7 linked regions of the Solanum lycopersicum genome follow. The main gene of each other region encodes a partner of the protein of the gene in region 7 in a complex. Links are inferred from orthologs where the notes say so. Each region holds a gene or a part of one and is shown on either strand. Other genes may lie near its edges. The genes, in order: large ribosomal subunit protein bL28c, large ribosomal subunit protein uL24c, large ribosomal subunit protein uL5c, large ribosomal subunit protein uL10c, large ribosomal subunit protein uL4c, large ribosomal subunit protein bL31c and large ribosomal subunit protein uL15c.

The links.
Region 1: large ribosomal subunit protein uL15c (region 7) and large ribosomal subunit protein bL28c share a complex: the UniProt entries of both Arabidopsis thaliana proteins name them as parts of the 50S ribosomal subunit. The link is inferred for Solanum lycopersicum from reciprocal best matches to the Arabidopsis thaliana genes RPL15 and PRPL28.
Region 2: large ribosomal subunit protein uL15c (region 7) and large ribosomal subunit protein uL24c share a complex: the UniProt entries of both Arabidopsis thaliana proteins name them as parts of the 50S ribosomal subunit. The link is inferred for Solanum lycopersicum from reciprocal best matches to the Arabidopsis thaliana genes RPL15 and RPL24.
Region 3: large ribosomal subunit protein uL15c (region 7) and large ribosomal subunit protein uL5c share a complex: the UniProt entries of both Arabidopsis thaliana proteins name them as parts of the 50S ribosomal subunit. The link is inferred for Solanum lycopersicum from reciprocal best matches to the Arabidopsis thaliana genes RPL15 and AT4G01310.
Region 4: large ribosomal subunit protein uL15c (region 7) and large ribosomal subunit protein uL10c share a complex: the UniProt entries of both Arabidopsis thaliana proteins name them as parts of the 50S ribosomal subunit. The link is inferred for Solanum lycopersicum from reciprocal best matches to the Arabidopsis thaliana genes RPL15 and EMB3136.
Region 5: large ribosomal subunit protein uL15c (region 7) and large ribosomal subunit protein uL4c share a complex: the UniProt entries of both Arabidopsis thaliana proteins name them as parts of the 50S ribosomal subunit. The link is inferred for Solanum lycopersicum from reciprocal best matches to the Arabidopsis thaliana genes RPL15 and RPL4.
Region 6: large ribosomal subunit protein uL15c (region 7) and large ribosomal subunit protein bL31c share a complex: the UniProt entries of both Arabidopsis thaliana proteins name them as parts of the 50S ribosomal subunit. The link is inferred for Solanum lycopersicum from reciprocal best matches to the Arabidopsis thaliana genes RPL15 and emb2184.

The regions. Positions count from the first base shown.
Region 1 is NC_090808.1:67,409,465-67,413,558, forward strand, and holds the start of large ribosomal subunit protein bL28c, read right to left. Parts: upstream 2,801-4,094; 5' UTR 2,652-2,800; coding exon 2,435-2,651; intron 10-2,434; coding exon 1-9. Other genes in the region: uncharacterized protein, read right to left, coding at 3,652-4,094.
Region 2 is NC_090806.1:68,736,520-68,740,514, reverse strand, and holds large ribosomal subunit protein uL24c, read right to left. Parts: upstream 2,801-3,995; 5' UTR 2,671-2,800; coding exon 2,578-2,670; intron 1,170-2,577; coding exon 1,131-1,169; intron 821-1,130; coding exon 590-820; intron 407-589; coding exon 200-406; 3' UTR 59-199; downstream 1-58. Other genes in the region: calcium/calmodulin-regulated receptor-like kinase, read right to left, coding at 3,775-3,995. UniProt on the Arabidopsis thaliana protein: One of two assembly initiator proteins, it binds directly to the 5'-end of the 23S rRNA, where it nucleates assembly of the 50S subunit. Required for optimal plastid performance in terms of photosynthesis and growth.
Region 3 is NC_090808.1:1,642,870-1,646,187, forward strand, and holds large ribosomal subunit protein uL5c, read left to right. Parts: upstream 1-1,223; 5' UTR 1,224-1,392; coding exon 1,393-1,644; intron 1,645-2,072; coding exon 2,073-2,618; 3' UTR 2,619-2,818; downstream 2,819-3,318. UniProt on the Arabidopsis thaliana protein: Binds 5S rRNA, forms part of the central protuberance of the 50S subunit.
Region 4 is NC_090803.1:3,526,186-3,528,829, reverse strand, and holds large ribosomal subunit protein uL10c, read right to left. Parts: upstream 1,434-2,644; 5' UTR 1,330-1,433; coding exon 640-1,329; 3' UTR 501-639; downstream 1-500. UniProt on the Arabidopsis thaliana protein: This protein binds directly to 23S ribosomal RNA.
Region 5 is NC_090806.1:67,227,853-67,231,266, forward strand, and holds large ribosomal subunit protein uL4c, read left to right. Parts: upstream 1-1,294; 5' UTR 1,295-1,785; coding exon 1,786-2,614; intron 2,615-2,687; coding exon 2,688-2,725; 3' UTR 2,726-2,914; downstream 2,915-3,414. UniProt on the Arabidopsis thaliana protein: This protein binds directly and specifically to 23S rRNA. May play a role in plastid transcriptional regulation.
Region 6 is NC_090803.1:66,609,362-66,611,943, forward strand, and holds large ribosomal subunit protein bL31c, read left to right. Parts: upstream 1-1,292; 5' UTR 1,293-1,442; coding exon 1,443-1,511; intron 1,512-1,595; coding exon 1,596-1,916; 3' UTR 1,917-2,082; downstream 2,083-2,582. Other genes in the region: mannan endo-1,4-beta-mannosidase 7-like, read left to right, coding at 1-148. UniProt on the Arabidopsis thaliana protein: Binds the 23S rRNA.
Region 7 is NC_090804.1:3,795,317-3,799,390, forward strand, and holds the start of large ribosomal subunit protein uL15c, read right to left. Parts: upstream 2,801-4,074; 5' UTR 2,608-2,800; coding exon 2,527-2,607; intron 2,449-2,526; coding exon 2,091-2,448; intron 1-2,090.

The sequences.
Region 1 (4,094 bases), on a different chromosome or scaffold from region 7:
ATACTCTACCTGAAAAAACAGAATGTATTCTCTTAATATTCTATACGCTACTTATCATAAAGAGGCGCCAAGATATTCGAGCACAACCGACAAAAATGCAGGAAAGCAGGGGGGGAAAGGAAAGATCATGATGATGTAAGGCAAAGGATGCTTCACTGGGAATATTTGATTACTCTTGTCCCTAATTTGTTTTATTTTACCTATTAGCTCAAAGGCTTTAAGTAGTTTTGGACTAAAAAAACAAAGGAATTCAGGATGCAGTTTGACAAATGCAGCAACTTAGAAAGGGAGTCAAAGCAAGCAAGAGTGTCAGTGATATAGTGCTCCTAATGACTCTCATAATGTGCTTTCTGATTAGTAAACTAAAGCTTCATCAGTGATCTAAAAGCCAAATACTCTGCCATTACTGGATTTCACAAAAGGTAAGTCAACCCTTTACAATTTGTTGTCATACAATGAGAACGAATTAAACCAAGCTGTTATCATCATATTCAAAATATAATGTACACCAGAGGGGCGAACACACCGAAGATTCAAGTTCTGTAGATTTTTCCTTCCAAATCTGCAGCTAACACACTCTCTCAGCCTCTCATTATTGGTTTCGTCTTCTTTTTAACTAGTTTGGTCACTTGTAATAAGGACACAGGTGGGTAAATAAATATTAAAAAATGCAGAAGGTGAATTTGAGAGGTAAATGGATTTACATATTCTTGATAGCGAGAAATCTACTTTCATAAGCTTTGAATCTCATAAAGCTTTTATTTCACTATTAGGCTGCAAGTTTCATGGAGAGAAGAATAGGCAGATGGAAATCCTGCTCATTATCAAGAGAGGTGAAAGCAAGAAAATGAAGCTCCCTTTAGGCTGCAGTCAGTTTTTAATGAGACCTAAAAGGCCTCGACAAGAATTATAATATCTTCTCATGCATATAGTATTTCTTTTGCAGCTTTGTCTATGAATTGCAGCAAAGGAATGCAAACTTTGTTAACCAAAAAACTGTTGATACCATCTATATAAGAAATTTATCATGAAATAATTTATAATTCTTCACTTGGACAATCTGTTATGCCTTAAATATCGGCAATCCTTAAGTCAGAGAACAAAGAGCCAAGGAGGAAAAATTAGGGATCATTCAGTATATGAAGACAACTATGGACAAACTTCCAAACTATATACCGTATTTTATTGATCTTGTTGTTATTAATGCAGTTAACGCGGCAGCTCCCTTTAATCAATATGCTGTAGTCCATCAAGCTCTTCCCAGTTTGTTAATTTTGCACATGGTGAGGTTGTCCTATCCCTATTTCTTGCGACTGTAGACAGACTTTTAAACCCCTGGAATGATGACACCCCTTTAATCTCTCCTCTTGAAGTTATATAAGAAGTTGTTTAGATAGTAAACTATAATATGGTTTTTAATCATTGATTATCATATGTAACTTAATAATATGTGATTAATGTCAAGTGCTCAGCTTACCATACCACAGATTTCAAGAAAACAATATATTTAGTTTGCAAATTGCAACTGAATCAAACTTTTTCCAACTTTGGCTATGTCTTCAGATCCTCCACATTGTAAGGGATAATTTTCATCCCATATCAGCAATACTAACTTTCACTTGGTACTAAACAATCTAACGTAATGTGCTATCAACACAAAGCACATATCTGAATTCTAGACACCCGACTACTAAATGGGGTCTCAGGTATGGAATGAGCAATTATCTGAGTAACACTCATGATGATTTCGGTCCTGTGACCCTTTGAGTACGGCCACTCCACACACACACAAATAAAAAGGCTACCTGCACCAAAATGATGATTCATCGTATTAACATTTGAAAGTTATCATCTTTCCTTTTTCCCCATCAATGTTCAAGAAGAACTTACTATCCCTACTTCATGGGTAGAGGGACCGAAGGTGTATACCATACAGTATCCCTTTGCATGTGATCCAATTAATTGAAATTCAGAAAGCTGAAATGTCACCTCTACCATCAATAGGTCTACAAAGTTAATATTTCCGCCCCTCGAACTCGTAACCTTCAGGTCAGCAAAGGAGCAACCTTGCAATTGCACCAAGACTCTTTTTTTATTTTAAATAATGGTAATGTCGGGGTCAGTTTGCACATACTTCAACAACCATTACCCTAAGTAACAAGTACTTAACTAAACTTCAAATTATCAGATACAATTTCCTTTTGACAATTGTGGTGTATGGCCAGTATGCGCACACCTCGACTAATTCTAAGGTTACCTACTGCCTCCCCACAAGCACAATTTCTTACACACAATTCACAATATTGTTAAAACCCAACAATTCACTGAAACAAACAAAACAACAAACAGTTCATGTGCATATTACTAGACCAAAAAAGAAACAACCCCAACAACTAAAAACACAGAGAACACAACAAAAGGGTAGAGAAATTACGAGCAACAGGTTGAAGGGCTGTCTTGAAAGGAACAGAAAGTGAAGCAGGAGAGCTCAAATGGGTGCTTGAAATCTTGATGCCACTCAATTGAGAAGTCACAAAACTCAACTCTGAGCTGAATTTCACCTTGGGTAAAGCCCTTTTGGTCACTGCAAATGTCCTGTAACCACCCACTACTGGTCCTCTGAGGCTTATACCCGCTGTGATTGTCGCCATTTTTGCAACCAATTCCTCAAAGCAAGAATCTTTTTTGTCTCAAGAATGTTGCTTTTTTTTTTGAAGAAGGAAGTGAAGAGTGGATAACGAAATGGATGTGGGTAATGATTTTATTTGTTGGCCTTCATATTTTTTTTTATTGTTATTATATATTTAACTTATTTTTTCCTTTAGTCTAATAATATCAAACGATTTAAATAAAAGAATAAATAAATAACAAAATCTAACTTATTTGGAAGTAATATGTTATCATAGTTATGCTTTAATTTTATTTGCATTACTTGTGTTATCTTAGTTTATGCTTTAATCTTATTTCCATTACTTACTCACGTGGAAGTCTAATATCACAAACCAAACAAAGAGAGTATTAAGCCTATACCAAAATCAAATCATTATTAAGCCTATACCAAAATCAAATCATTATAATATTAAGCGTTTTCTCCCTCTTCAGGTTCCACTTATGATAAACCAAACAAATAGACCAAAATCAAATCATTATAATATTGAACGTCTCTACTATCTTCAAATCAATCACACTATGTTATGAATGTCCTTATCTCTCTAACCAAACAACCCCTAAAATCTGTTATCCCATCAACTGTCCAACTGAGTCAGTGACCAACATCATTTAGAACTACAAGCACAAGACATTAAGGCAAAATAATAAGAAGGTAAATAAAAGATTTCAAGAAGCCATAAGATTGTGCTCCTGTATATTGTAAGTAGTAGGTAAACTGTTGCAACTTAAAAACAAAGTTCATAATTTTTAGATGACATAATACAATGGCTCATTCCTTCATCCCATTCTACATCTGGGAGAAAACATGTATTCCGCTTCAAATCGGGTACGACTCTCGCACTAACAAAAGGGTTAACACCAAGGCATCTCAATAATGGTAAAAATTGCAAACAAACATTCAGTTAAGCATTGTGAAATCCTATGTTAACGTCGTTCAAGTTTGGGGAGATCTGCATAAGGTTTTGAATGGGCCAAAAGAAATTAGTTTTGTTTAGCAAACTTTGTCTGATAGAGATCAAGGGGAACATACTCCACAGTCACTATTCGGTCGTCAAACAGTCGTCCATGTAGACAATGAGCAGCCGTGCATGCAGCTTCTGCTCTTCTAAACTCCACAAGTACACAGCCCGGATCAAACACTTCAGTAATAGGGATTTCTTCCTTTTTCTCAAGTTCCTCTGGAGCATCCAACTCTTCTTTCGATGAGAATTCTGGTTCAGAAGGTCTATCGTCTACATTTCCATTGTCTTCCTCTGACTTAATTGCTTCCTTAACTGGTGAGTCATTGTTTATCTCAAGATGCTCCAGTGGACTGGGATTAGCATTTTCATCTTTCCTTTCTGAAACCATACCAGTACGGGTAACCTCGAGATTTTCTTGGAAGATTGTCTCTTGAGCAGAGACACTACTGTCATCTGGTAGAG
Region 2 (3,995 bases), on a different chromosome or scaffold from region 7:
ATTGTATTCGACCCATTAACCATCAAACTCTAGTACGTAATAGTACTGGCAAACAGAATTTTTGAGTAAATGTACTTTAATATAAAATCTTATGTTACTGAGTTAAAAAGGTGAAGGTGACAACAGAATCATAATATATCAATGAGAGAAGATTCAAAATTAGCAAAATCGAACTAGAATTTACAGACCAGTGGATCTCCTAGGAAGCAGCAGCTACTGCTTCTGTTGTTTTCCCCTTCTCTTTGACTGCTTTCTTCCAGTTCTCTGCACTATCGATGATTTCCCCAGTTTTAATGAGGTACCGGACTCTTTTTCCATTGTCTAAAGTTTTGTGACCAACCCGACTGGCTACCTTCTGCTCTTTTGAATAAAGCATCACGTTTGAGCTGTGAATAGGAGCTTCAATCTGAAACAATAACAACAACTACGTCTCAATCCAAACAACTTGGGGAAGTTCAATCTAAAATCTTAACACAAAGTTTTACTTTCTTGTTAGGGCAAAGATGAATTCGATGCTAGCCACGACGAAATGAAATCTCAAGATAACAATTTTTAGGCAAGATAGAGAAGAAAGAAATCGAGATAAAACCTTGACTATCTGGCCTGGTTCCTCCTCACTCCGACTCTTCACATGCTTGGTTTTCAAGTTCACCTCTTTTACTACTATTTTGCTGTTGTGCTTGATGATCTCGGTAATCTCTCCAATTTTACCTTTGTCATGGCCGGAGATTACCTTTACAGTATCACCCAGCCTTACATGCATTTTGTGTAGTACTGGAAGGCTGTTTGGCTTACATTCTTTACGCTCCCATCGCTTAAGCTGCAAAATAGACATAAAAAGAAGCTCTTATTCAATGATAAAGCTAATTCTAATCACAATTCTCATTAACTGTTGTTTCAGCTAAAAGAATATCATACCCATAAAAATTAGTACCAAAGGTTTAGCAATACAAACATTTGGTGGCCATTTTTAAAAGCTGTTGACAAGTTAGTTCGAGCACTTCCTTCATTACATCATAAGTTATAAAAGAAATGCATGACCACATTAACAGCAACCCTATAAAAGTAGTTGCCGGAAATGTCTATCTCGGACAATATACTAAAGGACCAAAATGGATCAAGATACCAACCTTTGCTGTAATCAAACATGGACCTTCTGCTGATTTAACCTGCACGGCATTATATGGAGATTGTCATTAAAGTGGCAAAAGATTATCCAGTTTTACAGTTGACACAATAAAAAGTGACAAACTGCGTAAGGCGTGATATACATCCAAAAAGTGTTAACCGAATAACAAGCAAGTGCATTTTCTGGAGACAGATCTTATTCCATATTTGCTTCCAATAACTTCTGATTATACAGGTAACTATAATATGAGAACGATTTATTATCGAGGAACACAGAGGCATATGTATAATATGGGTTCAGCAGCACCCAGTAGCTTTAACTCAGACCCTATATATGTATTAAAAAATTGATAAATATGTCCAAATATTAAAATTTCGAACCTTAAGTCAAATACAGGGTTCATCCTATGTTAGAACTTGGAAGACATCAATCACAACAGAGGGGGTAAGTTTAAGTTAACCAATTAGCATATTCTTAATATACTTGACTTTTTGAAGAACTTTTGAGGAACTACTGTATCAAATTGTAGATGTCTTTATATATAAAATTATTCTCTTGCAGCTAGAAATACACTGTGTTTGGTATGTAGTTCCAACTTTCCTGTGTTACGAAAATATTTTCTTTAGGAAAACAAGTTCAAGTTCAAAATAAAGAAAATGACTTCCGTAGTGGAAGTAAGAAAAACAAGATGGATAAGTAGCATTTCAAGTTATCATCACCCAATCCCTCCAACTCCCACTTCTTGACCATATCACGTCCGTCCATCCCCGAATCCCCACTCCCCATCCCATCTCGCCTCCATAGTATTTTGTTGGATATATAACATATAAATGCTCTTGGAATAATATTATCTAGCTTAGTTACCATATAAACACTAGAAAATTAGTAAGTTCCACATTTGTTTTCTAGGTAAACATTTTCCTTCGTACCAAACACGCAGTCAAAACTTATAATAGCGAAAAAACATATGATATGAGAAAGGACTCAGGTAGCAATGGTGACCAAGCAGAGAAAAAGTTCACAATATATTGTAATCAAATAATATAAAATTAATTTATAATCAATAGTACAATGGAAATGGATACCTTTGTTCCTATGATCCCTAATACATAGAAATCAAATTATTCAAACAAAGACCTTTCACAAAGACAATTGAAATTGAGATAAACAGATAGGATATAGCCTAGTGGTCAATGCAGTGGTGAACAACTACGATTTATTGGTTCAAATCACAATACACTAGTTTATTTCTTCGCATTTATGTAAGACTGGATGGAGAAAGTTACTTGCAACACAATTCAATTCTGGCTAGAGGTAGCAGGTATTCTACGTAATTAGTCGAGTTGTGAGCAAGCTGGACCGAATGATACAGTTGTAGAAACAAAACAATTAACATTTGAGATAGTTCAGTTTGAAAACCAGATAGTTGAAGTTATGAGAAAGCATACCAGAGGAAGGGAGAGAGGAGGAGAGAAGCGTTGGCCGAAGAAGGAGGTGGAGGAGATGGAGAGACCAGTAAAGGAGCTCTGCAGAGCCGCCATTGTTCAAAACCTTCTGCAAAATCCTTTTGTTGAAGGAAGAAACAACACTGAGCTGAGTATTTGGATAGGATAATAAAAACCAGAACCTTCGTCTTCTTCTCTCTCTATCCCTGGACACCCGATCCAACTTAATTGGACCTTCAACGGGTCGAGTACGGCCCAATTATAAAGTCCCTTTTCAGCTATTTCGGGATTGTGGATTAATTACGAAAATCTCACCTTTTAGTTTAATTATTATCATTATCCCTTATAAGTTTTACAAATTTCTAAAATTTCACAATTTTCATGCATCACATCAATTTCTATCGCGAATCATATTATTGTATCCCGCGCATCAGATTAGTGTATCATGTATAAAAATGTATCTCGCACATTAGATTAATGTATCTCGAGCATCATATAGTGTATCATGTATAAAATGTACCTCGCGCACCAGATTAGTATATCTCGCGCATCAGATTAGTGTATCATGTACCTCGCGCATCAGATTAGTGTATCATGTATAAAATGTACCTCGCGCATCAGATTAGTGTATCATATATAAAATGTACCTCACGCATCAGATTAGTGTATCTCATACATTAAATTATTGCATCTCGCGCATTAGATTAATGTATCAACGCTTGTATTATTGTATCCGTTTTGAAGATTTTTTGTAATTATAAATTTGTAAAGTATCAATTTGCCCTAATTTAAGAAGGGAAAAATGATCAAGTTTTAATGTTTTATAGGTTGACAAAACATATAAAAGACGAATTGAACAAATAAATATATTGAAAAAAAGTATCGGGGGATTAAAAAATAAAAAAAGCTTGGTTCTTTTTTAATAAAATTAGATTGAATAGGATACTAATGTAGAAGAAGTGGAAAAGCCTGATCTGGGATTTTCCCCGTTTTCTACCATTCATTAACCTTCCACGCAAATTTACAAAAACTTAGAACAAAATTGGGAACAAAGGCTATCATACACTCAGACTATAACATACCCCTAAGTATCCCAAACGAACTCACCAAGACAAAAGTGTGTTTTTGTAAATAAGAAACCTAACAACCTGACCAATTTTACAAGATGAAACAAAAAAATAAACAAATGGAAGAACTGAGTTAAACTTCATACGAGTCAGCTGTGCTATCTATAGATTCAACACGTCGATGTCCAGAGATTGGATTCCGATGATCTACTTGTTCAACATTGATGGTAATCTCCTCTGCTGTTGCAGATAAAGATCGCTTCTGGCGTTTTCTTTCGTGTCTAGACTTGAGTATCCTTGACAGAACCTGCACAGTGTCCCTCATGGAAGGCCGTTTCTTGGCAGCACGATTCA
Region 3 (3,318 bases), on a different chromosome or scaffold from region 7:
CTGGCTAAATAATAAAGATTAGGTTTATTTAATGAAATGGGCCACTACGACGTTAAATTTTCAAAAAATTATCCAGCCCACAAACCAATTTAGACTTGGGCCTACCTCATTCCAGTCTAATAGACCCCAATATTTTCTTGGTAAAAATTTTTGTTGGGCCAATAAAATTTGATATAGTAAATTTCATATATAACAAATACAAAATTTATATTTGTATGATATAGCAAAGTTTGTATACTTGCGCTCGGTGACAAATATAAATATGCATAATTCCCTATATACATATACAAAGAAAGCAGTTGTATAATTCACTATACATATACAAAAGAAAGCAGTTGTATACAAAAGATAAATTGTATAATCTGCCATTTGTGTATGTATAAAACGAGAAAAAGAGAAAGACAAAAGAAAACTGAGCAGGAGAATATTTGTTTTGTATAATTACAAGTGTATAGGACGAAGATATATGTATTTACATGTGTATATACAATTTTCTCTCGCTTTATACAAACAGAAATGCAATTTATACATTTCGTTTCTGTTTGAATAAGCGAGAGAGGCGAGGGAGATTCGGGAGAGTGGTGAGTGAGATTTGAGATAGGTGAACAAAACTATATGTATCTATACAATTTTCTCTCACTTTATACAAACGCAAACACATTTTATACAATTGTGTTTGTATAAAAAACGAGAGAGGTGAGTGAGACTGTCACAAAACGAGAGTGGCGAGCGAGATTCCACCAGGGAGAGTGGCGGAAATAGCAATAGTTTGCTATAGGGTACAATTAAATCAAAGTATATTTATAACATTTAATTTAAATTAACAGTTTGCTATTATATACAATTTTCCTGATTTGATACGATCTTCATTCAATAATTTTTAGCCCAAAACTTAAGCTAACATTTAACCATAAATTTCATCATATGTTTGGCTTAATTTTTGGAAACATATTTCACTTTTTTTAAGAAATGTATACTAATAAGTTTTAAAAGTTATCAAAACTAACTATAAGTTTGTATTGCATAACAAAATAGAATAAAAAGATTCACTATCGTAACAATTAGTGTCCATGTCACTGAAGCAATATGGTAATTCAGAGATAGTGCAACAAGCATCATTGCATACATTATGAAGTAGACGAAACATATTGTTCGTCACTTTTATCAATAATCATATCGTCATTTTCTTATTTACTGAATATTACATCATTATTTTGATGTTCACGTAAAAAATTTTACTTGAAAAATCTATGGCGAAATGGATCCGAATTTTTTTTACTTAAACATTCACAAATTAAAATTTAGTAGAGAGAACTCTGTTATATCCACAAAGAACATCTTATCCAATTACCCTTTTATTTTTCACACACAGAGAGAAAAAGCTCAGAGAAAATGGCGGCTTCTCCTCTTCTTCTACACTCCACGGCCTCCTCTTTCTACAATGCTGAGTTTCCGGCGTACTCCGTTCGATTGCCGGTCGGAAATACCAAGGTCCGGTCGTCCAATAAATTGACGGTGAAAGCTTCAGCAACAGTACTAGTGGATAAAAGTGAAGCTGAAAAAGTTAATCGTCTGAAAACAAATTACCTCGAAAAGATTGTGCCGTTGTTGAAGGAAGAATTCAGTTACACCAATATTCTTCAGGTAAACTTAGGAGTCGTTTGTCCATTGCATTTTTTTTCCAGAACAGATAAAAATTAGGGCTTGGGAAAGGGAAAATGGGGGAATTGAACAAATTTTTCAGTTTTTAAAAAAGCTTAGTGCAGGTTCAAACACAAATTCAATTTTCAATTATACTTTTCAAGTTAATTTCAATTTCAAAGCATATGTACTTCTTTAGCTTCAAATTTTACAACTTATATCTACAAATTTGAACTGTTTCTTGTTTGTTTGATTAAATGTTGAATTTTAGAGTTGAAATGCTGAGAAATTAGTTTGTTTGACACTATTATCATTTGAGGAGTGAGAAATCACAGTGAATATTAGTTGCATTGACCTATTGCTTCAAACTCTATTATTATTTTTTAGTTTTAATTTGATTTGATACGGAATGTGGAAAAACCGTGTTTTAGGTTCCGAAGGTCGAAAAGATTGTGGTAAATTGTGGTATAGGAGATGCTGCACAAAATTCCAAGGGTTTGGATGCAGCAATGAATGATTTGGCCTTAATTACAGGGCAAAGGCCTGTGAAGACTAGGGCTAAGAATGCTATTGCTACTTTCAAAATTAGAGAAGGTCAACCGCTTGGAATTGCTGTTACACTTCGAGGGAATGTAATGTATTCGTTCCTTGACCGGTTAATTAATTTGGGGCTTCCTCGAACGAGGGACTTTCAAGGCGTAAACCCCAATAGCTTTGATGGTCATGGAAATTATAGCATTGGCTTTCGTGAACAGAGTGTCTTCCCAGAGTTAAGTTATGATGCTCTTGGTAAGCCAAGAGGGATGGATGTTTGCATAACAACAACAGCTGAGACAGATAAAGAGGCACACAGATTGTTGGCTCTCATGGGTATGCCATTTAGAGAAGGTTCTGGTGGACAGACAACTTTTACGAAAAAGAAAAAGCTTAGAGCTCACCATTTTGACTCGAAGGCGAAGCAAAGGTCTAGGAGATGAGGTGGATCCAATCTCCAGGGATAATGAGTTGATTTGTTGTTTTTTAACTGTTTTGTGGTTTATCAGTTGTTTTTGGCGTACAATTTGAATAGAAAAATCTGTAATTGCACTTTTACCATCTGGCTGGTGATGTCTCGAATATATGTTATTTACGTTTTCTTCCTCTAAAAAAAAAAAAATAAGAATTGTTTTTATCTCTAGTTAAGTTTTTACTATTCATGAATCTTGATTACTGTAATTTGTATGTTATTAAATATTTCCTACCCGCTCCCTTTTCTCGTCTGCCATTTACTTTGATTTCAGGCAAAGAGTTTCTCTTGTTAGCTCCACCATATTCACATTTAGGTGAGTTAACATCTCTGCTTTTATCTTTTATCGTATGTGATAAGGAGTATTTGCGGGCGATATCTTATTTACGTTTTCTAAATTTGTCCTAATGCTTAACACTTGATGTGTGTGAGGCTGTGGAGTCCCATACTTATTTCTACTCCCTGATCCCCCACCTTTCTCCTTTCTTCCTCTAAGGTTTATTTATATTCGCATATTAGAAAGTCACAGTTATTTATAGTATATACCATGTTGCTGAATCTTTATTCCCTTGGCTTCATTTTATTCTGCTCAAATTGTACAGAGTTTTTTCTTTCAAAGTGTGTATGAATGTGCTTTTTAGTGGTTTCAGGTTCTATGTCATTTGATTTGG
Region 4 (2,644 bases), on a different chromosome or scaffold from region 7:
AGAAATCCCAAAAAGTGGAGTCTGGGGAAGGTAGAGTGTACGCAAACCCTACCTCTACCTAGTGGAGGTACAAAGGTTGTTTCCAAAAGACCCTCAGTTCAAGTGAAGTAAATGAAAGTACTAACAAAAAGGGAAAACGACAATAAGGAAAACATGAGAACTAGTAATAGGAAAGCACTGCAGAGGATACATGCAAGAAACAATAACGTCAACAATATAGTGCGATCAACATATAACAATAGCAAGAAACTGCAAGAATAAAGCTACACACTTCCTCCAGACTACTACCAAAGCCCAAACTCAGCAAATAGCAAGATCTTAGTGCACCGAGCTGCCCTTTTAATATTTGACAAATATAGTGAGCTGAAGCAGGAATACAGACTATTTTCTTGGTTCAGTGATAATGGAAAGAGCAGAATAGTACATTTCACATAACATAAATCCTCTCAAACAGTTATGAAGTAATCCAGATAATTATCCGCCAAATACGAGGACACAAATTTAGAACAATTGGCCAAGGATAAATTCATTCTACCAAAAACATAAAATTTACAAAATTCCATCTCTCAGAAAAATTTCAAATATTGATCCAAATAGACAATAGTATTAGCTTACCATATCCAAGAATTACAACAAAAATTATTGACTTCCACCTTCTTCCTCCTCCAATTTCTTTACATAAGCCTTAAGAACCATAACCAAATTCCTTGCTGGAGCTTGAATAGTCCCAACAACAGCTGAAGCAGGTCCTTTCAAAGACCCAAGAAGCTGTGAATAAATCTCAGCTCTTGTAGGCAAATTCTCAAGCACCTTAAACTCATCAGGCCCATAAAACTTCCCTTCAAAAACCCCACCAGTAAAATCATTATCTTCCAATTTCTTCTCCCTTAGAAAAGTCCTATAAGGTTTCAAAGCAGCTGGGATTTCTTCACTATGAACAAATAACCAAGCATTCATTCCCTTCATACATGGTTTCAATGCTTCCCATTTTGTCCCTTCAATTGCTTTAAGTACCAATGTGTTCTTAGCAACAAGAAGCTTTGTTGTTTCTGGGAGTTGAGCCCTAAGATCTTGAAATTGCTTAACTGTTAACCCCTTGTAACTGATTCCAGCTAAGAGATAACAATCTTCAAGCTGTTGCTTCACTGTTTCGACTGTTTCTTCTTTCTTGGTTCTGCTAATGGCTGAACGAATAGTTAGAGTTCTGGGTTTGAGTTTGAGGTGAGAACTGGAATGGGGGATTATGAAGGGATTGTTGAAGTGGGATTTCACGGAAAATGGGTAAGAGTGAGAGGAAGAGGAAGGTAAGCTGAAGAGAGCAGCCTCCATTGATGATAGCTTGAGAATTGGATTGCCTTATCTTTTGTGCTAAGATAGAATTTAGGGGTATTTCATAAACTTTATGTTTTTGAAAATATTTATGTCATACCAAACAAACCATTAAAGAAGTTAAAAAAGGCAAAATAGGTGTAATATTTACATATATTTTATCGTCTTTAATTTATAAAATTATGTTAGATATATTTTTATTATTATTATTAACAAAATTCTTGAGATGATTTGATATGATATATAAAAGATAATAATTTCATAAAATGTAAAATTATTTTATCTTATATTTAAAGATATTAATTATGATTCGATCAGTTATTTTAAATATATATTATCATTATTTTCAGATGCTTTATTAATTTTTTTTTAAAAAAATAATATAATAATCATATCAATTTTTCTTCTATATTAAAATATTTTATTAATTTTGTTTGAATTTCATAGTAGAGTCGCATTAAGTATAATCAATGCAAATATTATATGATGTATTTGGCATTAAGGTGTATATAAGATATGGAATTATGTGGATATTAGTAAAAAAAAATATTCATGCATTAGCATAATAAAATCACTATTGCTCTTCAAAACTCTTTTAACATCATTTTACTATATTTGTGAAAGATACTTATATAAATAAAGAATTTTGTTCAAAATTGATGTAATACAGATTATTTTCTTTACGTCAAATCAAATATTAAATATAAAATAATACTCCTATCAAATATAACTCATACAAATATTAATAATAATTAAATTATTTACTACTAAAATTCACCATATTCAATATTATTCCTTCTACACCTCGTCAATCCTTTTTCAAGTATGTATATCTGTATCTACAAGTTTATCAATTAAAAATGCTGGCTTAAAATAAATTTAAAGAGTCAAGAATATTCAAAAATTATTTCTGAATGTAATCAAAATCACAAGTGATATTTTTGTTATTTTCTCTGCTCAGGTCCTAGACTTTGCTTCAATTATATTATATTATATTATTTTAATAAATATAATATTTGAATAGATTGTATCTGTATAGTAAAGACAGAGCGTGAGGTGAAATCTTTTACATAGTATATGGTGAGGCGTATGTCCTGAGACACAAGACGTAAGTCTCATAGTTTTAAGGGGCATAATCACATGTATATTCAATTTTTAGTTTAATTATTAATAAAATAAGCAAAAGTAAATCTTTCAATGATTTATGATTTTTATTTGAGATAAGTATTAATAATCGGTAATGAACAAAAAAAATAATCTATAATTACTTTTTGAGAAATATCATGAATATGATTTGAAGAAAAAAATAAAATAA
Region 5 (3,414 bases), on a different chromosome or scaffold from region 7:
AAAGTAGAGAATTCAACTAATTTGTCTTGTGATGATCTTGGTGAACTTGAATATTGTTGGATTGATTCAGACATGGATTCTTCAACTCCTAGTGATGATGATGATATGAATATTTGGTTCAAGGATTGTTACTATGATCAAAATGGAGTTGAAGATTTCACTAACTTTGTTGGTGCATGTAGGGAGTTTTCTTGGGAAGAATCTTGTGAATCTATGCTTTATGCGCCTGATGTCTGATATTCATATTGGAGCTCAACTAATCTGGATTCACATTAGTACTGAGGGATTCATTGTTTCCTCGTAAAGGTGACTTTGTACTTTGAAAGATTCAAATCTGAAATCTCTAATTAAGGATGAAGGAGTACTTATAGATAGTCATTGAGATAGGAGTATTGATTAAGACGTTTTTCATGGCAATTGTAAATCCCATATTAGTATAAATTCTTTTTACTAAAGACCTATGAACTTTCTGTTGCTTTTAATTCAATGTGGAATAAGCATAGCTTACCTAATTTTAGGATGTAAGCTGCAGAACCTATTTTTATGGTACATTTGAAATTATTAGTTCAAAATTTAATTGAGTTTGTTAAGTTTCAACATAAGTGGAACGAGGAGAAATTGATTTCTTTATATACTCTTGAACAATCATATCTCCTCGATTTATCTTTTGAATTGAGTTAAATCTAATATGGTATTGAAGTTACGTCCATCTCACTTCATTATCATTTAATATTAGGTCTCCATTTTATATTGCTTACATTCATGATATCTGACCATGAACGTGCAAAGGAGCGTTGAGTCTTAAATTGATTGATAAGCATAAATAATCTTGAACAATTATTTCCTCTTGAGCTAGCTACGATGTTACAGTTAGATTAGATTCAAGGTTTGTTTTCTTAACCGAATTCAACATACGAGTTGGGCTTAGCGTATCATGGAAAAATTGGAAAGGGAAGGCAATATGTAGCAGGCTGCATCAATAGCGCCTCAAAATAAAAGAAAATGAAGGTTTTGGGCTTATGATGGTGTAGCCCCAACTAACAAAAGACTTGATCAAGAAAATTGTATAACTTTTATATTATATCAAAATTAATAAAAATAAAGAGCACATTTCATAAAAATTTTATTTGTCGCTTACGCTCTAAAAAATTTATTTTTTTTCCTACACAAAAGAAGATTTAATTATGTTCTTAAAGTATTGTAAATTAAATAGACATGCCCTTCAACTCTTCGTCAATAGTTTGGCTTATATATGACCTTATCATTTTGAATGTGTTATTAGTCTAAATGAAACATTTGATTAACCTCATTTGTTGATTCATAAGTGAAAAAATTATCAAATATACTCTGACAACGATAAGCATAGAAAGAATAGAATATTTGTAGACCTTATCACTATCTCGTAAAGCTAGAGAGTCTGTTACGTCGTAAAGTTGAAGAGTTCATTGGCGCAAAAGGATCGGTCCTTCACTTGCTGATCGTTCGCAAGTCGAACTCGCTCTCTTGCCACGCCTTTCACTCACTCGCTTGAGACGGACTCAATCACTCTTTGAGTTTGGAGGATTCACTCTCTTGTTATTACCCGCAGGGAGCGCATGTTTCCGCAAATATGTCCCTAAATTTATCAAATATGTGCTCAATTTCAAATACTTTGAGGGTATATATGACTTTTCCATTTTCACTAAATTTATTTGAACAAAGAATATGAATACATTTTGATATCCTTCTTCCTCATTTGTGGATAACCCAATCCATAGGCTTGCAGTTTGCTCCTTCACTGCAAAAATGGCTACTTCTTCTTCTTTATCTTTCTTTTCTTCCACCATTTTCTTCTCTAACTCCAACACCCTTCACTCCTCAAAGCAGCAGCAGCAGAAACAACTCATTTTCAAACCCAAACAACAACAATTCTCCATCCGTTCAGAGGCCGCCGCCGCCACTATTCCAATTCTGTCCTTTGATGGTACCGAAGTGGGCTCCACCACTCTCAACTTAAAATCCGCCCCTCTTGATACCGCACGCGCCGTCGTTCATCGTGGGCTTACCACTGACCTGCGCAACCAACGTCGCGGTACTGCTTCCACCCTTACCCGAGCCCAAGTACGGGGTGGTGGTATCAAACCATACCCACAAAAGAAAACGGGTCGAGCTCGACGTGGGTCGAACCGAACTCCTTTACGACCAGGTGGTGGGGTTGTGTTTGGGCCGAAACCTAAGGATTGGTCAGTTAAGATTAACAAAAAGGAAAAGAGACTCGCGATTTCTACTGCGCTTTCGAGTGCTACACAGAATGCCATTGTTGTGGAAGAGTTTGATGATAAGTTTGAGAAACCGAAGACTAAGGAGTTCATTGATTTGATGAGAAGATGGGGATTGGACCCAAAAGAGAAATCTTTGTTTTTGATGACGGAAGTTTCAGACAATGTGATTCTCTCCAGCAGAAACATTAGCACATTGAAGATGTTGACACCCAGAACTTTGAATCTTTTCGACATATTGGATTCTGAGAAGCTGGTTTTCACTAAATCAGCTGTGGAGTTCTTGAATGAACGATACGGAAATGATGATGATGATGATGATGACTGGGAGGTGGTGGACGAGGAAGAAGAAGATGGTTAGTTTTTGCTTCATTTTGGGTATGAAGTTTCCTTTCAATTTTAGCTAACTCGTTAATTTGCTGCATTCAGGTGGCGAGGTGGAGGAGAGTGCTGAAAGTTCTGAGTAATATATGAACATGGGGCGAAAAGGGTCTGTTCCATTTTAGAGGAGGCTTTACCTTACAGGGAGCTTAGTATATTTCACTTTGAATTGTATTTTATTGTATGATAAAACTAGGTGATTTTGGTTGATTTCATGTCACTGACTGCATTTGTCCATTACCTTCGTTGGAATAGTTTACTCTTGATTTTCGTTCCGCTCTCATTACCACTTTGAGTTCTTGATTTTTATGATAAGAGTGATTAGTTACTTTACTAATTAAGTCTTGTGTTCTGGCAAAACTACATTAATTGCTTAGTAGATGAAGCTTTATATAAGATTTATGGGTTACAAGTTGTCAGCCAGGCGAGATTCAGCAAAGTAAAATGATTAGGAAAGCTTTGTGTTTGAGTCTTAGGCTTGAAGCAATTAAGCAAAGTTAAGAAAAGGAAACCTTTATTTGGGTGGAAAAAGCTTCATCACCTTTTTCTTTAATACAAACACAAAGTAATTGGCAGGAAAAAATGCTCTTTACTTTGTTTTGAGTCATTGGGGGCATATGGGATGCTAAGCATTATTAACCTTGAAACAGACCATATCTAGTAGACTATCTATGGAGGCAGATAACTTGGACATTTGTACTATCAAAATATGTGATGGAGAGTATATGAGTATCTCTAGGCTTTTACTAGAACTTTTGAGTTTAAGCGCTAATTG
Region 6 (2,582 bases), on a different chromosome or scaffold from region 7:
AGATGGATATGAGATTATATTGAGTGAAAGTTCATCTGTTTCTGATATTATTATTCAGCAATCTAAAAGGCTTAATAAGATTAGAAAAATGTATGCAAGGTTGAAGAATATAGAGAAGTGGAAGAAAGCAAGGAAATTAAAGGATTAATCATGAGAATTAGAGAGATTTAATTTATGTTAGAGATGAATTAATTTAAGTTAGCAAGAAGTTAGATAATGTTTTTTTTTTTTTTTTTTTGGTAATGTACTGCTCGACATGTTGTATGTCAGAGGAAGTATTCTAGTAGTGATTTATTATGCCTTAAAAAAAACATCGATTGTATCGATGTATCTAGTGTAATTTCATATGATTTTATTTTATGAAATTGAAGAGTTTATTTTTGATAAATTAAGATATTTCAAAGCATATTAAAAAAGAAATATAATAGTAAAGAAATTATTTTTTTTTAAAAAAAAAGATTAATGAATCAATACAACGTGTGGGATAACAAAAATTGAAAGTAGGACAAGATAAATAACTTGGATTTGCTTATGGCGGTAAGCACAACATCACTTCTGTTTATTCAAACACTTTATTCTTATCAAAGATTATAATCGAACTAAGTTATTATCAATCATGCCTGGTTGAATTAATCTTTCAATAATATGTAAAAAAAAAAACAAAAAACTATTTGGTAAACTCTAGATACAAAGGAAAAAGGAGGATATTTGATTTATAAATTGGCCAATTTGTGTTACACGTCTCGGAGAGGAGAGACCGATAGTATTAAATTCAATGGTCAAGAAGTCGTAATTGACACTCTATACATGGTGGGTGATATGAGTATAAATATAAATAATCTACAGATAATATTTTATTAGCATTATTTCTCCAGATGGTTAAGACTTGGAACTTTTAAGTTAGAGGTCTTAAGTTCAAAATCACTTGCCAGCGAAAGTAAATTCTGGGTTGAGCTCATCGCACCGAATTTGCCTAATGCAGATTATTTCTCCTATGTGATTTGCGAACTAACGTATAGGAGCGGGAGTTTTACCATGTGCCCACCCAAAAACAGCGATTACTTAAAAATAAAATAATAAAAATACTTTTGAGATTAGTCAAACCTTTTTTCTACTAGGGTAAATGATATTTTTACAACAAACAAGTTTTTCTTAAAAAAATATGCAATACTTATGCAAGAAATCAAATTAGTAATAACGAATCAATAACTAATCCCAAACAACCCTAACGAGTTTAATCCATTTTTGAAAGAGTATTTACATAAATGGGCCTTACCTACTCCTTGGGCTTCAAGTAATAGCCCAAAAGTAACATCATACAAAACTAGCCCAAGTAGAGCCCAATCAAATATACAGCCCAATATCCTCAGATAAGCAATCTAATCTTCAACCCGTTCCTCTTTTTCTCCATCTCTCATTCTTCTTCTGCAAAAATACCAACAATGGCGCTCACTCTCTCCAACACTTTCCTTCAAAAAAATGTCGCTCCTCCTTCATTCTCCTCCAAGAAGGTAACTCCCCAAAATCTCCATACCCATAACTTTTTTTTTTTTTTTTTAAAAAGTATATGATTGTTGAAAAATTGAATTTTGCAGATGGGAATTGGGAGCAATCAAATGCGATGGAGCTGCAGGAAGAAGGATATACATCCGCAATTCTACGATGACGCTAAGGTATATTGTAATGGAGAGCATGTGATGACAACTGGGGGAACAAAGAATGAGTACACAGTTGATGTTTGGTCAGGTAATCATCCTTTTTATCAAGGTAGTCGTTCACAGCTACTTCTTGATGCTGACCAGGTAGAGAAATTCAGGAAGAAGTTTAGTGGGTTAACACAGATTATGCAAATTCCAACTCTCAAAGGAGAGATTGTGCTTCCTCCTAAGAAGAAGAAACCTACTAAGAAGAAGTAGACTTTATTGTGTGTTTGTAATTCCCTTAGTTCGTTTCGTAAATGGGGAAATTGTTGGAGAATTAGGGGTTTTGTGTATTTTGTGTTTGTATTTTGATGGTTTCAGTTGTGAACTCAGTCTATTATTTGAAAATGGAAGTATAAAAATTCAGTCTTTGTTCTTCAAATTTTTGGATTTGCTGTTGTTGTTATATGGTTCATCAATTAGTTGGGCTGGTAGAGCATTTAAGTTGAATCCAGTGAATTGTCTTGCTTTCGATTGCCATTATTGCTTCGACTATTGGAATGTAATGAGCCTAATAGAGCTGAATGGATACAAAAAAATTGTGTTAACTTAAAACAGTTTGGATCAGGTGTAGTTCATTGATCATAGTTTACGTTCAATAGTTTCAAATGAGTTGTCTTTCACCCCTTTACCTGATAAACTGAACGAAACTTGTCCGTTTTGCACTATCTTGGTGTAATGTTATACCTGTGATTGGAAAGGCTGATTGTTTCAGGGTTTCAGCCGTCCCTTGAATCCTTGACAAAGTAAAGATGAAATAAAGTCTGTTATAGATTTGGTGTCTTGTCTTTTGTATGGTTGCATTAGCCAAGCGTTCTAATGTTAGTTGTACTGGTGCTGTGGTGCACTTCCATTCTTGCAGTTTACTGTGTAAAATGCTTT
Region 7 (4,074 bases):
GTGGTAAACATGTAGTAGATAATTGCTTTTGACAGATTAGCCTGACTTGAGGGAAATCCTTAACTAAATCAACAAAACACATAATGAAACAAATTAAAAGACGAGATTGGAGGTTTTACAAAGAGCACTATCAATTACTTCAGTTATTAAGTTAGAATAGCCTAAAATAGTCAAAGTTATAAAAATTAGACATGGCAAGGCCTAATCAGTATGAAAGGCCTAAGAAAAGTAAGAACTTATTTTTTGACACACAACTCTAGGTGTGAGTATCAAGGTTCAGCATTATATAATGCGAATGGATACAAGTTACGCCAAAAATAAAGGACAGTTATGAATCATCTTAGTAATACCAACAACTTGACATTGAAGAAAATACTTAATCAAACGCCATGCATAAGGGAAAGTGAAGACTACTCAAGAGCCACACTGAGACTAGAGAGTCAAGGCACTGACATTCTCTTCAAATCAAAGGAAGAATAGCCCTTTGACTCGAGGGCCTTTTTACCTCCTTAGTATGAACTTTCCAAATCCTCCTCCTTTTAAAATAAGTTTCCTGCTAGGGGAAGGTTAGGAAAGGACAGATTTTATATCCGCTGATTCGGTTTATGATGGCATAAGGAGCATTTGTTCGAGTGAGAGCTCCTAGAATGTTCATTTTGCAGTAAGAAACTTCTTGACAGACGTTACACCTGGTTGGATGCTTGAGCACATTTCTCTCATATCGATCAAGGCTTTCCTTTTAGTTTAAATAAGGGGGTAACAGTCTTCGGATTATAGAGGAAGATAAAAATGTTGAGGATTTCAGAATATTGCAAATAAGAAAATAAGAATTTCAAGATATTTGCCTTGATGTCATATAACTATGCATAGCTTTATTTCTTAGTGCAATATATTGATCATTTGTAATAAATTTCTTTAGATTAATCATCAGTACAGTTTGAGTATGCATACACATATGTCCACCAGATGCAGATAAGACTTTTTATCATCCTATGAAAATCTGCCTCTGCAATGACACAACCAAAAGAAAAACAAACATGCTTGTAAACAAAGATACACACAGTGCACCCAAGTGAGTGGCGTAGTTGTTAATGGAGTTGGTTGAGAACCATAATGTCTCCTGTTCAATATTCATTTATCCAAGCCTTTCTGGATAGAGTTATCCGCTCAGCAGCGCATTTACTATTTGGAGATGGATGACACCAGGCAGGGCAGAAAAAAGAGTTTGTATTCCATTAGTTGAGGAATGAAGTAGCAAAGGAATATCCAACACAAGTGTTGGCAGGAAGAAGCAGGTACCCGTGGAATTAAGTACATGACAGTGTTATCAAATCAAAAAAACTCTGAGGACCATTGGGACTAAGCATAAAACGTGAATAAAGCATGATCTTTAATATAAAAAGGAGCAAAGGGAGAAATACAAATACATATGTTTGTTTAGTCTAAGAATAATAATTGTAAGCATGAATGACAAATATATGAACAAAGAAATTATTTTTTTTACTATTAAGTGAAATATCAATTGTTTAGTGTTGCCTAAAGAGACTCAAAAGAATGCCTAAGAAACTTGATGACGACCCTGAAGAGCACATTAAGCAAGACAAAGCGCTCAACACATTTTGAACCTCGCTTATGCACAGCTTTGACAACACTACTGCATGCAAGGTGCCCCGAACACAAATATAAAAAAGAACACATAGTCAAGTTAAAGCTATAAATTTTATAACACTTATCCATAGACTTTTAAATGGTAAACTATAACACTGCAGATGGACACAGAAACAAACAACAAAACAAGGAAAAACAAAATCCAACTCAAACTAAGGGGTCATTTGGTACTAGGGATGAGATAGACAAAGTTATCCCATTGATTAGTATATCCCGAGGAATTAGTTATCCCGCCATATATATATGAGATAACTTATCCTATCATTATCTTATAAAAATGACAAGATAGATATTCAGGGACTAACTAATACCCCTAACCAAAGGCAATCCAACATTTTATCCCGAGATTATTATCTCTTATCCCTTGTACCAAACGACCCCTGTGATAATATAATTATGTTGAAGCAATGTTAACAAATTACCTCCAGCAATTCCTCTCAACTTAGGAAGTCTCCTATAGAGAGGCATTTGACCCCCTTCAAACCCCTTTCTAACTCCAGGTCCAGACCTTGATTTTTGACCTCTCATACCAAAACCACAACTACCCCCTTGTCCAGCTGAATGCCCTCTACCTTTCCTCTTCCTATTCTTGGTAGCCCCAGGTTGAGGACCCAAGTTATTAAGCCGAAAACGAACACTCCCAGTTGCAGAATCAGCACCAAAACTTGCAGTTTGGTTGAAAACAACAAATGGGGTTCTTGTTATTGACTTAGATTTCAAATTGCAGACCTTTATTAAAGGCAAAAGCTTCGAACTTGACTTCAAATTACTTACATTACCCTGAAAAAAATTGATGGGGATAAATGAGAATTGTATAATTTTGACAGAAATTGAAAAATTAAAGAGGAGAAATTGTACCTTGAATGATGAAGAAAACTGGGTAATGATTGAATTTGTTCTTGTAGGTGATGCAGAGGAGATGGAGAGTAGAGACGCCATTGTTGATAAGGGAGAACTCAGGATTGTGTTCACTGTCCAAGCAAAAAGTGTTTTGACAAATTTTAACGGATAGGGGTGGTTATTTCAGGGACTTTCTTTTCTACTTTTTAAATTAGTTTACGAGTCTATTATCAGGTGTTCGATATTTAATTCGATATGTGTGTATTACACTTCATTTTGAGGATCGTGGTCTTTTTTGCTTCCAACATGATGTTTGATATTAGTAATAGGCTTAAATAAAATTTGAATTCACACACGACTGGGCACATTTTTAGAGGGGACTTTCCTAACTGATTTTTTTCATTTATGGGATTGAATTTGAAACATATGATTAAGAAAGAGAGATCTAAACGCTCGCTACAAGTCATATTAATTACTAACATGTTTGATTACTTAGTCATTGATAAATTCTATACGAGGGTTATTAGTAATTCGTCAACTTCTTTTTTAGATAGTAATCTTTCTTTTCTTCCTCTTTCGTCATGCTATACTCCGATGAGGATTACTCTTATAATGTTCTGCTTAAGAAAATTTAAAAGAATCTCCTTAATCCTGTCTTACTCCGCCCAAATTTCTGTATACATTCATTAATCAGCAAATTATAAAAATGACTACATTTATAGGATTTATCAAAGTTCAATAGCTACAAGTATGTTATTTATAAAAAATGAATACAATTTATATCTTTTTCTAGCTGTATTAATTCTTTAAATATTATTATTTTTCTATTTATACAGTAATACAAGTTTAATTACAACAAACTAAATAAGGAAAATGTATTAATTGTGTACAGTTAGTATATGAATACTTTGAATTCAAATTAGTATCTATATTTATAAAACGTAAAGTGTATATATATATATATATATATATATATATATATATATATATCAATGATACAAGTTTTTGTAAGAATTTAATGTATCAATATATATATCAAACAAGTTAAAGTATGACAATTAGCATATGAACACGGCTATTTGAAAAATGAATACATTATTGTTGTTCAAAAAATGAATGCAATATAGTATACATATGAATACATTGTGTTACTAAATCAAAGATGGATAAATTGGACAACGTAGAAACAAAAAAATAGAAAATAATAGAATGTGTCGGTATCAAAGTATATAAGAATTCGCCTGTATAAAAAATTGATAAATAACAATTGCCAATCTCTTTTTGGTAAGTGATCCTGTAATACATGAAGCTTGGTGTTAACTTAGGTATTTATAAAAATATAGTATTAATGTATCCAATTGTACTTGTATTGCCTAATCAATCTTGTAAATTGGATAAATTACTTATGTATCCAGATATATTTGTATTTGTAAATCACCATTTTCAACGAGTGTTAATATTATAATACAAATATCTATGTATATAAGTATTCTATTTTATATATATATATATATATATATATATACACACAAATTTGACAATCACACAAACCTCCATCTCTTTTTA